Linked DNA regions of Drosophila melanogaster. The protein of the gene in region 3 interacts with the protein of the main gene of each other region in a pairwise test. Each region holds a gene or a part of one and is shown on either strand. Other genes may lie near its edges.

Region 1 (7,402 bases), on a different chromosome or scaffold from region 3:
AGCCAATATATAGTAAGCTAATACTCCACAAACATTCCTGCATGTCGACAGACTTTAGCCGTTGTCGGCTCGACAAAGAGTAAATTCCGTCTAGGATTAAGAAGAAACTTTATAATCTCCACACTCGAAGTTTTAATAATTGTAAACACGTTGACACTGCTTTTGTCCTGTTTTATTATCTCTGGTTTATTCTTTGACATATTCTATTTAAATAAATAAATAAAATATTTAGTAATAAATAAAATTTGCGTAATGATTTAGCGTAAATTTGATGCCACACATCTAATGTTTCGCATTTTGCTGTGTGATTCTGCTGTAGGTACATTAATTTCTTATTCTTTGATGCATTTCTCGGTTCTGTAGCCCGTTACATGGTTGAATTAAGGTGTAATTTGGAAAAAGAGTCCAGTTTATGTTTGCGTTTAAATTGCCATAGCACTGCGTATAAAAAGCCTACATGCCGGGGACATGCAATGTTTAACTAATTTCATATATCATCTGTCTGTATACACTTCGTTTTTTATTGGGATTTTATGTTCCTTTCATATAGTTGTTCTCAGTTACAATTTTGCGTTAGCGCAACTAATTATCGAATGGGACATGTTGGGCAGACTGCGCCGGATGAGTCCGGCCTGCGGATAGTGGTAGGAGAGTGCTCCTGAGTAAGTGCTCGAGGCGGGCAGGTCGCCGCCCATCAGAGCTCGCCTATCGCCCTCGGTGATCGAGTCCACAGAAGCTGCCAGAGGAGAATTATGTTATTCTTTCGCCGAGCCGGGTTTTCAAAATATATTTCACTTACCCTCCGATTTGCCGCAGCTCAAATCTGTGCTGTGGGTCTTGTCGCCCAGTCCTCCATAGGAGAAGTCCTGTTTTCGAAAAGGGCATGGGATTAGTTTTCTGATCAAATTGAGGGACACATGCAACAATAATAAACGAAAAACCAGTGCAAGTTACAGGTGATACCAACGGGCATCCAAACACAAGACGGGGACTCAAAGGACTCTACGGCATAGCAACAACGAAAGCGGTCTTACAGTGGCACCATGCATCGTGGCCGCAGCGGATGTGGTGGAGCTGAATGTGTGGGAGCGTGGTGCTAGCCCGTATCCTGGCTTGGGCACATGGCGCAGCGCACTCACCACTGAGCAGATGTGGATGTAGATGTACATGTTGATGGTGTTCAAGTGATGTTGATATGTTCATGATGCAAATGTTCGAGTTTTAGTTGGTCAAGTGTGGATGGGTGTTAGTTTTTTGAGTTATTTGTTGTCAGGTGTCAGGGCAACAATAGCAAACACATAGTTGTTAGGAGTGGCGCAGGATGGGTGGATGGGTGGGATTGGGTTTTCAGACACGCAATGAAGCAGCAGACCAACCAGTTGAGACATATGCGAAACAGTTGTTAGTTCATCCAGGTGAGCAAACCAGTGGCGGCATTGGAAAGTGAGAGAAACAAGAAACAAATACCGTCGTAACTATTTTGGGATTACATATAAGCGGATAGGTTCGTGTGGTAGTGGGTAAGCTATAAGCTACATAACCGACAGCCCGGCACCAAGGATATAATCTGATCTGATCGGATCGGATCGGATCTGATGCGATCTATGCCGATCTGAGCAACAGGCAGCACTTACGGAGCTGAAGCCATTGCGTATATAGGGCAGAGTCGTCGTTTTGAATCCGTATCCGGGCTTGGGCGGCGATCGGTAGGAATGTATGGCTATAAACGTAAGTGGGCTAATATATAATATCGGTATCGAATCGCTATTTGCCTGAAAATCGAAACTAGGACAATGCTCTCTAGAGGATTACCATTGTAGCTGGGCGCGTTTCCAAGCGATTTGCCAAGCGAGCCACGGTAGCTGGTGGAGCGATCGAACATCTCGTCCTCGTAGAAGGGCTTCTGGTGGTCCAGATTGCGCGATGGCGATGCTCCAATGGGCGATTCGTATCTGTGTAATCAAGATGTCATAGGATTAGTATTACTACACTATACTATATACTATAACCATATGTTTTGCTATCTTATCGTTCTATTTTTAAAACAAATAATAATAGATTTCTTCAAGTGCAAAATACACCGAGCACGAACTAGAAGATACATTTTTCAATTTTCTTATAACGATCAATTTTCATTATCATCATTTTTCAATTTTCTTATAACGATCAATATCTTACCTCAATTTGTAGAGTGGCTCCTTGGAAGCGGAGGGCGTCCTGGATGCGTTGCGCGGATCCAAATTGTTCTGCTTCCACTTCCTGTACTTGGCGTGCTCCTTGAGGTCCTTGGCAATCGCCGATCCGATGCCCGAGTTAAGCTTTTCCAGCTGTTCGGCTTCGCGTTGAAGGCGTCTGTATTTTTGGGAAGAGATTTAATAGGATCTAGGATCATAGCATGCACAAGAGATTCCAATACTCACTGCTGCTCCTCGCCATTCTTGACCTTGCCATTCGGCTTGCCATTCTCCACATTCTCGTCCTCATCATCGGAGGCGGGCACTCCCTTGTAGGTATCACTGTATCGCCGCCTACGCTCCGGATCCGTGTAGGGATACGGCGGAGCGGGAAAGTCATCCCGCTCGATCTTGGGCTGCTCACCTGGCGGCGGCTTCTTGGCGGCCGGATAGTGAGACAGTTCAATCGGCTCCTCGTTGTTCATGCCAGGACTCTTGGGACGCGGCGTCTCCGAGCGGATGGCGTCCACCAGCACCTTCATGGCGCTGCGGGTCCGCGAGTGGGGACGCGACGGCGGGCGGCTTCCGGCCACGGATCCCGCATTGCTGGCGGTGGTCGCGTATGAGGAGGGCCGATGGAAGTGCGGCGACAGCGGCGTCTTGTCATACGGATCGATCGGCTTGCGCAGATAGTGCGGCGCATCCGTCAGATAGCTGTAGGTGTAGATGCGCGAGATGTCCTCGGCATTGGGTCGTCCGTACTCCCGGAGTATCAGACCCGGACTCACCGTTCGGTAGTGCTGCAAATTAAGTGGGATTAGTCCTGGGCTCTCATTTCAAAGTTTAAATACATGCAGTGCCGTGTGTTTTTCTTTTCGGTTTTAGTATTTTCAAAAACGATGGCAGAAAATGAGGGGAAATCATAAAGTAAAATTATAAAACAAACCTTGCGGCTAGAGGAATAAAGTGAACCATTAAAGCTCGGAGTTCTGGAGCGGATGTACTGAAAACGAACGAAAAAATAAAAACGCAAGCTCAAAACAACTAAAATGCAAGTAACTGAAATTATAAAATCATAAGTGCTGTGTGTAGGTGCAAAAAGGGGGTGGTAAATTGAGATGGGTGATATTTTCAGGGTGCCTATATAAATATAATATATAAGGTTCTAAAATAGTTCTAAAATATCACCCATTCTAGTATGAAATTTGATTTTAAATGCGTGTGCCTTTCGTGAATTTTGCAGCATTCAAATTAGTTGCAAGCTCAGCAGCCTCTTTAAACTCGGGATTGTTGTGTTGGAGTCTCGAGAATTATCTCAGTACCAGCGGTTTATCATCTGTAGATCCGACTACTTACCATCTCGCTAAGGGCACTGGAGCTCATCCGGTCGCATTCAGTGTCTGTGAAGTTGCCATTGGAGGCACCTCCGACCACCGACGAAGTGCCTCCGCCGCCGTTCAAAATTATGCCGGACTCGGAGGGACCCGGACCGCATCGCGGATGCCAGATGGCACTGCCCTGCAGGTACATCTCCTCGCCGTCGCCGAAGGGATCGCCGCACTTTGTGCAGCGGGCACAGGTCGGATGGAAGTGGTGGTTGTCGCCCGCCTGGAGCACCTTGCCGCTAATGAAGCGACTGCAGTAGGCACACTTCACCCCGAATCCCTTCTGGTAGCACTTCTCGCAGTAGGGCACCGCGTCTTTGCCCATGTACTCCCCATTGAGCACCGCCTGGCAGGCCTTGCACCGGAAACAAGAGACATGCCACTGCCGGTCCAACGCCACCAGTGCCTGGCCCTCCTTCAGCAGCTCCCCACAGCCGGCACAGTCATTGGGATCGTAGTCCTCCTTGAGGTGCGCCTTATGAGAGATCACACTGCCGTGCTGCTGGTGGGCAGTGGCTCTCGTCGGACTCTCCGCCGGAGGAGCTGGCGAGGAGACGCCTCCACCCGTCGCCTGGCGACTGGGCGACACTGGAGCACCCGTGACGCATTGCTCGCAAAGCACCTCCTTTCCGGTGTTGGTCACCTGTGAGGAGGAATATGTGATTAGTTACTTATCACTCGATCTGTGGAGGGTTTCAGCTCACCTTACTGCCCGACTTGAAGGGCTGCTTGCACTTGGAGCAGGTGAAGCACTTCTGGTGATAGGTCTTGCCCATGGTGCTGACCACCTCGCCCTCCACATACTGCTGGCAATTTGCGCACTTGGTGCCGTACAGCCGCTGATAGTCCGGTATGCAATAGTAGGCGTTGTCCTTTGTGAAGAATCCGCCGGTGGCCAGGGACTTCTTGCACTGGCAGCACTGGAAGCAGGCCTTGTGGAAGTGGTTGTCCGCCACGCGGAGCACCTCGCCGGAGCACTTCTTCGTGCATTTCGCACAGTAGATTTTTTGTTTACCTGTTTGCGGGGAAAAGGGGACGAAAACGAAGGGAGAACTACGGTTAGTAGAGCCTGACATTAAATTCATTCAATCAGTACTATCGCCAGATTACGTATACGCAGTGTTGCGCTGATGTCATATGCATGTGATGCGATAATGCCCCAACCTTGCCCCGTTTTACCGAGCTCAGTTCGAAGCTCCGTTCCCAATGTGCTAGGGTATATCGGTCTGGTCTTGTCTGTTTGTGGATGTTTCGGAATGGATATATATATTAATATATACATCACAACTTATCGTATATCGTATGTTGCGAGATTCGTTGTATGTGTGTGTGCGTTGTTTCCCCCACACTTGTGTGCCTATGTAAGCACTTGTATTGACAGTCACAACCAGGCCAACTCTTCTACACACCCCGACATGGCCGTAAGTCGTTTGTAGTCTGACTCACGGGTCTGGCAAGCCATTAATCTTATCATTGATAAGGCCAAGGGCAGATATTTTCTTTATATAAAGACAGCACACACACAAACACTGCTCGTTAATGTACACACAAGTGTGGAACAGGTTAAATAGATGCCAGAAGCCCATGCAAACCAAGACGACGGTCTGGGCCAGCGACCACCAGAGCACGCGGGAGTTGGTGCTCTCGCTGGTGTGACGGAACCGCTCCTCGCGGTATCGCTGGTAGTTCTGCTCCTTGGTGATCTGCTCCACCTGGTCAAGTAGCTGGCGGATGCGCAGCTGCAGCTCAGTCAGTTTCTCCTTCTGCGCCACATGGGCGTAGTCGATAGCGTGCTCTCCCACCTGGATGTCCAGGTGAACACGCAGCTGGGCACCACTGAACCACGCGGTGCTGTTCGAGAACATGCAGATGACGTGCTCGCCAGGAGTGTGCGAGGTGAACGAGATGCGGCCCTGTGAGCTGTACACGCGGGACAGCACAATCTTGTCGTCGCTGTCGCGTACTTCCACATGCATGCCGATTCCGGGCGACGAGGGCATGAATCCATTAGAGCGCGGATCATACAGCTCTACCTTGTAGTTAACTGCAGGAGGACAAGTTAGTCGATTGGTAAAACTTCCAAGTTGGCACTAGGCTCTGGCTCACCAATCACAGTTGTCTCGTCGGGAACCTCCTCGATGAAGCACTTGCGCTCCGTCTGCGATATGTGGAAGTACAAGCCGCAGGCGCTGTGCAGGACGCACAGAATCAGGGCCAGGCTGATGAATTGGTCGCGCATTTTCGGCTATTTGCAGTGACTTTTTCGAGTAGTTCTTTAATAAAGTTAAGCTCGCCGACACGTCATGAGAAAAAGTGCCAGATCAAAGTCAGAGTGTTTGGCATGAGAGATGGCACCGTGATTGGGCTAGCTCACGGCAAGCTCACGAAAGCGATTCTTTTAAATAAATGGAACAAACGATAAATTAAAATAGTTATTCAAACAGGTGTACATTTAAAAAATAAGAGTTGAAGACTAATTTTCAAACATTGTAAAATATTATATCTAATAAATAAACTTCTTGCGATAGTTATTCTCACGCTATCAGTCTTGAGTTCTCTTTGCCGATATCTGTCTCGAGTGGCAACACCGCAGCAACAGCTGTTTTGCCATAAGAAGTAGTGGATTTTGCATCGCTTTGGACACACTGATTGATCGGTGTTTTTATTTTTTTTTGGTTCGGCTTATCTAATAATTTAATAACACATTAATGCAGCCATTTATTGTCATTCGCAACTACACGCAAGATGATGAGCTCAAGTGCCAGGAGCTGGTGCGGGACTACATCATGTCGTTCTCGAATAAGTCCTTTTTTGTCTATTGCTTTCGAGAGGTGAGACATCTTTATCTAGATCCCCAAACTCTATGAACTATTTGGATTTCAACTTTTTTCAGATCACCCTGCAGTTCATAGTCATCACGTGGGCCATATTCTTCATATTTCTGGGAGTGCCCCTGCTTTTTTGTGCACTCACTGTGCCCGCTTGCATATTTTGCCTATTTACCGGCACCTACTTCTCGTTTTACTCCAAGGCAGTGGAGTTGATGAGGGTAAGTGTTAAAGCATCGGCAGCAAAGTATCTCAAACTAAGAACGTTTACTTTCCAGACCAAACCATCGCAGTCTTTGGTGGCCGAGTGCTATGAACCCTTCATTTTCCGCTGCTCACCGAAGGAAGCTAGCTACCAGATATTTACCGAGAACTGTCCATACGAGGAAACATACACGAGGAAATTCCGGCGCAGGATTGTGGCCGCTATTAGTGTGAAGAATCACCACGCCGTATACAATGCTGCATGGATCTATCGCTTTGCCATCGATCCCCATTACCCGTGTCAGACGATCATGGACCCCATGATAAAACTGGTGGTCAAGAACTGCATTATCGGCGGGTACGCCTCACTGGAGTGCACTATCTCCGAGTGGCAGGAAAGTGAGCGCGACTTTTATGATGATTTTGGGTTCGTTACGCGGCAGATCTACCACAAAAAGATCATTGGCAGCAGTTTGGCAGTGATGAAAACCCAGCTGACCTATGGGTTACGTACCGACGGAGCAGCTTTGCACAAGCAAAACTAGTGCGTTACCAATGGTGCAATATAGATGATAGATAAATGGATTCTGTGGAATCTTATTTAATATTTACGTATTTATTCTGTGAACTTTACATTCCAGTCACATATTGCGTCCCGAACTCAAATCACACCGAATTATGCCCTTGATGGCGTTTCTTTATCGATTCGACAATGTTTAAAGCCAGTTTAGCCAATATATAGTAAGCTAATACTCCACAAACATTCCTGCATGTCGACAGACTTTAGCCGTTGTCGGCTCGACAAAGAGTA
Region 2 (3,217 bases), on a different chromosome or scaffold from region 3:
AGATGTGTGGCATCAAATTTACGCTAAATCATTACGCAAATTTTATTTATTACTAAATATTTTATTTATTTATTTAAATAGAATATGTCAAAGAATAAACCAGAGATAATAAAACAGGACAAAAGCAGTGTCAACGTGTTTACAATTATTAAAACTTCGAGTGTGGAGATTATAAAGTTTCTTCTTAATCCTAGACGGAATTTACTCTTTGTCGAGCCGACAACGGCTAAAGTCTGTCGACATGCAGGAATGTTTGTGGAGTATTAGCTTACTATATATTGGCTAAACTGGCTTTAAACATTGTCGAATCGATAAAGAAACGCCATCAAGGGCATAATTCGGTGTGATTTGAGTTCGGGACGCAATATGTGACTGGAATGTAAAGTTCACAGAATAAATACGTAAATATTAAATAAGATTCCACAGAATCCATTTATCTATCATCTATATTGCACCATTGGTAACGCACTAGTTTTGCTTGTGCAAAGCTGCTCCGTCGGTACGTAACCCATAGGTCAGCTGGGTTTTCATCACTGCCAAACTGCTGCCAATGATCTTTTTGTGGTAGATCTGCCGCGTAACGAACCCAAAATCATCATAAAAGTCGCGCTCACTTTCCTGCCACTCGGAGATAGTGCACTCCAGTGAGGCGTACCCGCCGATAATGCAGTTCTTGACCACCAGTTTTATCATGGGGTCCATGATCGTCTGACACGGGTAATGGGGATCGATGGCAAAGCGATAGATCCATGCAGCATTGTATACGGCGTGGTGATTCTTCACACTAATAGCGGCCACAATCCTGCGCCGGAATTTCCTCGTGTATGTTTCCTCGTATGGACAGTTCTCGGTAAATATCTGGTAGCTAGCTTCCTTCGGTGAGCAGCGGAAAATGAAGGGTTCATAGCACTCGGCCACCAAAGACTGCGATGGTTTGGTCTGGAAAGTAAACGTTCTTAGTTTGAGATACTTTGCTGCCGATGCTTTAACACTTACCCTCATCAACTCCACTGCCTTGGAGTAAAACGAGAAGTAGGTGCCGGTAAATAGGCAAAATATGCAAGCGGGCACAGTGAGTGCACAAAAAAGCAGGGGCACTCCCAGAAATATGAAGAATATGGCCCACGTGATGACTATGAACTGCAGGGTGATCTGAAAAAAGTTGAAATCCAAATAGTTCATAGAGTTTGGGGATCTAGATAAAGATGTCTCACCTCTCGAAAGCAATAGACAAAAAAGGACTTATTCGAGAACGACATGATGTAGTCCCGCACCAGCTCCTGGCACTTGAGCTCATCATCTTGCGTGTAGTTGCGAATGACAATAAATGGCTGCATTAATGTGTTATTAAATTATTAGATAAGCCGAACCAAAAAAAAATAAAAACACCGATCAATCAGTGTGTCCAAAGCGATGCAAAATCCACTACTTCTTATGGCAAAACAGCTGTTGCTGCGGTGTTGCCACTCGAGACAGATATCGGCAAAGAGAACTCAAGACTGATAGCGTGAGAATAACTATCGCAAGAAGTTTATTTATTAGATATAATATTTTACAATGTTTGAAAATTAGTCTTCAACTCTTATTTTTTAAATGTACACCTGTTTGAATAACTATTTTAATTTATCGTTTGTTCCATTTATTTAAAAGAATCGCTTTCGTGAGCTTGCCGTGAGCTAGCCCAATCACGGTGCCATCTCTCATGCCAAACACTCTGACTTTGATCTGGCACTTTTTCTCATGACGTGTCGGCGAGCTTAACTTTATTAAAGAACTACTCGAAAAAGTCACTGCAAATAGCCGAAAATGCGCGACCAATTCATCAGCCTGGCCCTGATTCTGTGCGTCCTGCACAGCGCCTGCGGCTTGTACTTCCACATATCGGAGACGGAGCGCAAGTGCTTCATCGAGGAGGTTCCCGACGAGACAACTGTGATTGGTGAGCCAGAGCCTAGTGCCAACTTGGAAGTTTTACCAATCGACTAACTTGTCCTCCTGCAGTTAACTACAAGGTAGAGCTGTATGATCCGCGCTCTAATGGATTCATGCCCTCGTCGCCCGGAATCGGCATGCATGTGGAAGTACGCGACAGCGACGACAAGATTGTGCTGTCCCGCGTGTACAGCTCACAGGGCCGCATCTCGTTCACCTCGCACACTCCTGGCGAGCACGTCATCTGCATGTTCTCGAACAGCACCGCGTGGTTCAGTGGTGCCCAGCTGCGTGTTCACCTGGACATCCAGGTGGGAGAGCACGCTATCGACTACGCCCATGTGGCGCAGAAGGAGAAACTGACTGAGCTGCAGCTGCGCATCCGCCAGCTACTTGACCAGGTGGAGCAGATCACCAAGGAGCAGAACTACCAGCGATACCGCGAGGAGCGGTTCCGTCACACCAGCGAGAGCACCAACTCCCGCGTGCTCTGGTGGTCGCTGGCCCAGACCGTCGTCTTGGTTTGCATGGGCTTCTGGCAGATGCGTCATCTCAAGAGCTTCTTTGAGGCCAAGAAACTGGTGTGAGGTGCTCCGGGGCTAGGGCATCATCAGCACCACTGGCCAACCACTGGCCTCATTGTTCCGTGTGTTTCCCTCATTTGGCAGGAATTGCGAATTTCATCGATGGATCGTCATCCACCCAACCAGCCACTGGCCTCGACTCCAAGCACTTCTAGTTGTAATTTCTTGTGCGTAATTTAATAAAATCCATTGTACAAAACGAGACCGAGACTGTGTGCACCCCCACATCCTATCTTCGCTGGGTCAGACTGCCAGTCAGCTGAGCCGAGTCCCGTGACTATGTTTGCCTCACCAAGCGTGGCTTGTTCTTATCAGTAGGCTGTGACAGATAACCTGTGTCGTTGGCGTTAACTCCCTAGTTTTAAGACCGCGGTCCATCGTAACTGCATCGAGCAGCATCGTGTCGTGACTGCCCTTTATCTCATTGTTTGTTCTGTCGGAGAAGAGACTTTTTAGTAGCTCTTGGACCGCCCCGAGCAGCGGTCGTCAGTCGCGGCACAAATCCGACGTCCAAAACAATACAGCTTGTTGTGGCACACCAAACGCGAACGCTTACGACCCACAAAAGCCGCAGCTCTGTAACCCGATCCAGTCTGAAGCGCTTTCAAGTCAACAACTGGCCTAGGTCTCTGCTCCCTCTCCGGTTCAGTTGGTCTACGTCGGATTAGGCGTGCAGGCTGTTGAAAATGTTTCGCGCTACG
Region 3 (4,996 bases):
GAACAGTAACACACACACAAACACACACACACCCACACACTTACACAAGCAGGACCAGCTAATTATGCAAATGTGTTTGATTGCGAAAACCCTGCGCCAAAATGTAGGCAACACTTTTCGAACGGCTGCTTTGAAATGCCAAACAAAATGGAGAAACTAAAAAGTGGACTAGTTTGACTTGGTTATACCCTGCTTTTTTTACAGGTAAGATTGTGATAAGGTAGGATAAACTCACCTTCAATTATTGTAAAACAATCAATACAAATGCACTTTTTAGTAAACACATACAGAGATGTAAAAACAGGTTTGATAATTCTGTAAACTCACCTTTTCATATCCGCACACTATACCCCTTTACACTTGGCGGGTGGATAAACAACAAAATTAGCATAATTATGCAATCTACAAACGCCTCACACTCATTTCGCTTGCAAAATCCAAATAGAAAACTTTTTAGCCGTAACAGCAAAGCGAAGCTAGTGGAAAAGAATAAATTTATTGCCCATGCCCACCAACCAACTTTTTGGTCAGCAAAGCTGGCCTGGAAAAAAATTTGCATGAAAACAAACGTAACGAGATTCGAAATCAAATGAAAGCGAAACTTTGAACGGTAAACAAATGTAACATAAAATTTAATACGAAAAACAACTAACACAAATTGGTAGAAAATTATTACGAAATAGTGTTTGTGCTGATTACTTTTTCTTCTTAAGATCCTTGAGAACTCGAGCGATTTCGTCCTTCAAGGCCACTGCACGTCCGGCCAGCATTTTGGCCAAAATGGCATGCTTTTCGGCCATTTCCAATGCCTCGCGATCTCGGCTGCTCACTTCGCCAGTTTGTTCGGCAGATCTTATGGCCAAATTGTTGGCGGCTTCCACGGCCTTCGATGCCTCGGCCAGAGCTCCTTGGGCCTGCCTTTGGGCCGAAGTGTAGGCCTGTTCCAGTGCCTCCAGACGAGCCTCCTTCTTCCTCTTCAAGTCCTCCAGTGTGTTGGTGGCTTCTGTTAGTAGAGTAGCAGCTCCTGAGGCCATTGTGAACACCTGCTTGGCCATATCCTTGGGTGACTTTTGTCCTTCAGCTTCTTGCTTGACTTGATCGCCCTTCGGATTGGCTGATATCTCTAGCTTGGGATATATGGTAATTGGTTTGTCATCTTCGGGCTTCTGTGCTTCTTCAATTATAACTGGTTTTTCCTTTTTCTGGACTAGCAGCTCTGCAAGTTGATTGGGATCTGTATACACAGGACCAATTTCATTTGCGCCTTCAATACTAGCTTTGTGATCCTTTTTAGAGTCCTTGGATTCTGTTATCTGCATGCCAAGCACGGGTTTTTGATCTGATCCTTGTGGAATTTCTGACAGTGATGCCTTTTCCTTGGGCTTACCCGAATCACCAGATTTCTTTTCTTCCTGCTTGGCGAGTTCCTTACTGCACTCGGATATGTTGATGAAGACCTGGTCCTGCTGCTTCGATTTTGTCGAACCGCCTTCATTGTCACCACCGAATTGGTAATCACCATCGCATTTCGGCTTCTTCTTGCAAGGATCCTCCTCATCTTCACAGGAGCCCTCTTCGTCCTTCGGCTTACAAGGATCGGGCTTGCAAATGTCATCTTCTTTCTCCTTCTGCTGGCAGGGATCTGGCTTACAGACTGCTTCTTCCTCTTTCGCTTTGCAAGGATCTGGCTTGCAAACGGTTTCCTCTTCCATGAGCTTGCAAGGATCAGTTTCCTTTTCGGCGTCACAAGGATCTTTCTTGGTCTTGTGTTTCTCCCATTCCTCCGCCTCTTTTAATTGTCTCTTGCGCTCCAATGTCCTAGCTATCTCCCTGGCTCGCTCCTCCTGGGCATCGCAAGGATCCGCCTCAATGGAAAGGTTAGTATGCCTGGCCTTAACCTCCGGATTGGCCTCTGCCTCCTCGCTGCGTATTATAGTTTGGTTGCAGATGTTCGGTCCAGACTCTCGTTCCGTAATGCTGTCCAGTGACTTGGTTGGTGCGGCTGTAGGCGTTGCGGATTTGCTGGCAGTTTCGGAACGCGCAGCTTTGGCGGCGTCTGCCTTTTTCTGAACATTCTTGGCCAGACCCGACATCTTTTCTTTAAGACTATTAAAAAGAACAATAGCTTTGGCCATCAAATCTTTGGCGATTAAAGTGGCCTTTTCGGCCAACTGAGAGGTGTCGACAACGGGTTCTTTTGGCTCCTTTGGAGCCGCAGCCGCCGGAGGCTTTCCTTCTCCACTAGGCTTATCTGGTAACTTTTCGGGAGCTGGTTTCTTTGGCGGTTCGGGCTCCTCTTCGTGATGCAAAGCAGCTGCTGCCTCTGGATCCGATGGACCTGGCATTTGCTCTTCAGGAGTGTGTGGCCAGAAAGTGGGCTTGTTGATGAAATCGGGTGCCAAGTGCGGACGGGCAAAACAAAATTCCTCCATGGTCATTTCGGAATAGGGTCGCATTGCCTTCACGAACTCCAACTTTTCGGTTAGCTCCTGGATTCTTTTATCCGACTCCGCCTTGTATTCGCTAATACATTTTGTCACCACCTTCTTTTCTTCATCGACGAGTTCAAAGTATCGCTTGTGATCTACTATGGCATGTCGATTCTCGAATACGGAATGCAATTTATCATACTTGGTCTCGTATCCCTTCACCCAATCGACAAACTCTTCTCTCACATTCTGACGGTAGTATTCCCAGTCGATTGTCGGCATCGATTCCGGATACTTACGAACGCGGCTATAAAATATATTTATATTATTCTCTACAATGGGAAATAATTCTCATATAAAGCAACATAAGCTGTAACCTAAATAATTAGTAAAGACCCTGCCCTTCTAAGGTAGACTTAATTCATGCTCCCCCAGGTGACCCCAATTCCCTGTTTTTGGTGACCCCATCTTACTCCTTGTACTCCTCGTGCTTCTTGGCAAACATTTTGAACTTGTGCATCTGGTTCGGCGGCACCTGTTTCATCAGATCCGCCAGTTCGACAACTTGGCAGCTTACATTCTTGACGCCACCATTGCCACCATTGCTCTTGATGCAGTTCACCAGCTTTTCCCACATCCTTCGGATTCTTTAGCAGTATTTTTATGGATTTATATATGTGTATGTTCAGGTGTGTTCACATTGGCCTCCAGTCTGTTCTATAACTTGTACAAATATGTGAGTGCGTAGTGTGTGTGTGTGTGTTGAAAACTCCTAAGGAGCCAACTGAGAGCCATTAAAAGTGAAAATTCCAAAAGGCTATAAAAAAAAACGGGGTGGGCGGAGAAATCGAGATTTCAATTTATAGCCCGAAATTGCATATTCATGCAGTTTCAATTAAATCAGAGTCAGGCGCAGCGACAGCTAAGCAAGTGGGTTTGACTAACTGACAATAAAATCGAAAATTAATTCCAACCCAGCAGACTGCTCAAGGAAAGTTAAATGTAATTGCATGGAGATGGGGTATTTTTGGGGTGGCATTGCCAAGTGGGTGGAGTGGGTGGAAATGTAAAATCACACCCAGGATATGCGTATGTGTTTGGGACCTCTCGAGTCTGCGAATGCTCCAAAGTGACAAACGCAATTTATAACGCAACGAAAATGGGCTAATGCCAATTCTTCAGGTAATTGTCGTCTGCTCTCTCTCTCTCTCCCTCTCACTCTCTTTCTCTAGAGAATCATGGTGCGAGAGAGGGTGTGCGAATTGCAACCCCTGCTGGAATCGCAGGATATGCTCCTTTAAACGTTTTGGAACGAAACGAAACATGCGCCTGCGCTCTGTGAATGTTTCGCTGTCATTTTGACAGTTGCGAATGTCCTCTCACCACCAACAAGGACCTTTCCCTACAGGACTCGAACAGCTGCCTCGCTCTCGCAGGACGAAACGCATGGAAAGAGGAACGGCGAGAGAGAGAGCAAGAGATTGTCTGCTCCGTTTGACAGCAAAATTCGAGCGTCTGTAAATTTGTATGCCTATTTTTCTGTGTTTTCGCATTTAAAATAATTAAAACTCGAGTGAAACTTAAGATTTATGAATCCAAATAGTGAACAATGGTTGTGATTACGTTGGCACCCATCTATAAACACAAATAAGCCCACAGTCAACTTAACTTCATCTGTGTTCATGTTCCTTTTCGCGTGTTTGTGTGTACCATACAAAAGTGTGTTTACATTTTTTCATTCATCCTAACCAACAACTAAACAATAGAATAAATGGTTTAAAAACATTTTCGCAGAACTGGCAGATTAACAATATCAAGTAAGTTACCTAACTTTAGATCTCTAAAGTTCATGTTATCTGAAATCCTATGTTCCTATGAAATATAAATAAAATTCATCGTGTATGTGATTGTTTGAGAGTGTACATGTACACAATCGCATCTATGTAAGTGTGTGTGGAAAAGGACATACCTGTGCAAGCTGGGCCAAGGATTCTATGTGGGCTGGCCTGGATGGGATAAAGTAAAGAAAATAAATACAAGCACCAAAATATACATTTAAAAACTCAATGAGAATAAATAAATATGTTTGAACAGCTGAAAAAAAATGATATTTATACATTATATTATACATTATTTATACAGACACTAAATAAATAAGGCAACGGATTTATTCTATAAAATATCGTATTAAGTAACTTTAATATGCTTAAAACTGTTTTTTTTTGTTTTTAAAATACCTTTAATCTATTTAAGCTGGCAAAAAAAAGGTAATCACATAAATTAAGCTCAAAATAATGGCCATAAGCCCAGTGGTCATAGTAACACTCACCCACTTTTCGGCTCAAATTTATTTCAAAACTTAATGAAACTCATCAAAATTCCCACGGACCGAAATGAAATGCTGCAAATGAACTAATTGACTCGAATGATACTTTACAACTTTGCCGAGGCTAAGCCCGGATCCCAACTCTTAACCCCACGAAGAAGAAAATAGAGTTTTGCGGCAAGCGGCGAATAAAATGTGGAAAAATAAATTTCCAAAGCTCGCTGGCTGATGGCTTAGAATT

Evidence for each region. Proteins that work in one complex are often made in the same cells at the same time.
Region 1: the proteins of knon (region 3) and p24-2 interact in a two-hybrid assay, tested with the Drosophila melanogaster proteins (one large-scale study listed by BioGRID).
Region 2: the proteins of knon (region 3) and eca interact in a two-hybrid assay, tested with the Drosophila melanogaster proteins (one large-scale study listed by BioGRID).

What each region holds. Positions count from the first base shown.
Region 1 is NT_033777.3:9,686,902-9,694,303, forward strand, and holds p24-2 (p24-related-2), read right to left. Parts: upstream 5,875-7,402; 5' UTR 5,799-5,874; coding exon 5,666-5,798; intron 5,604-5,665; coding exon 5,002-5,603; 3' UTR 4,842-5,001; coding exon of another isoform or gene 4,724-4,841; 3' UTR 4,645-4,723; coding exon of another isoform or gene 4,264-4,644; intron 4,203-4,263; coding exon of another isoform or gene 3,531-4,202; intron 3,178-3,530; coding exon of another isoform or gene 3,121-3,177; intron 2,975-3,120; coding exon of another isoform or gene 2,421-2,974; intron 2,353-2,420; coding exon of another isoform or gene 2,179-2,352; intron 1,953-2,178; coding exon of another isoform or gene 1,813-1,952; intron 1,721-1,812; coding exon of another isoform or gene 1,635-1,720; intron 1,142-1,634; coding exon of another isoform or gene 1,035-1,141; intron 867-1,034; coding exon of another isoform or gene 800-866; intron 737-799; coding exon of another isoform or gene 561-736; 3' UTR 501-560; downstream 1-500. Other genes in the region: Unc-115b (uncoordinated 115b), read right to left, coding at 561-736, 800-866, 1,635-1,720, 1,813-1,952, 2,179-2,352, 2,421-2,974, 3,121-3,177, 3,531-4,202 and 2 more; CG32939 (uncharacterized protein), read left to right, coding at 6,268-6,390, 6,453-6,608, 6,666-7,136.
Region 2 is NT_033777.3:9,683,969-9,687,185, reverse strand, and holds eca (eclair), read left to right. Parts: upstream 1-1,709; 5' UTR 1,710-1,806; coding exon 1,807-1,939; intron 1,940-2,001; coding exon 2,002-2,519; 3' UTR 2,520-2,717; downstream 2,718-3,217. Other genes in the region: CG18542 (uncharacterized protein), read right to left, coding at 469-939, 997-1,152, 1,215-1,337; CG9444 (uncharacterized protein), read left to right, coding at 3,203-3,217. UniProt on the Drosophila melanogaster protein: Eca and bai are essential, though not redundant, for dorsoventral patterning of the embryo. Specifically required during early embryogenesis for the activity of maternal tkv, while the zygotic tkv is not affected. Involved in Golgi organization.
Region 3 is NT_033778.4:16,496,284-16,501,279, forward strand, and holds knon (knotted onions), read right to left. Parts: upstream 3,147-4,996; 5' UTR 3,067-3,146; coding exon 2,903-3,066; intron 2,737-2,902; coding exon 696-2,736; 3' UTR 606-695; downstream 1-605.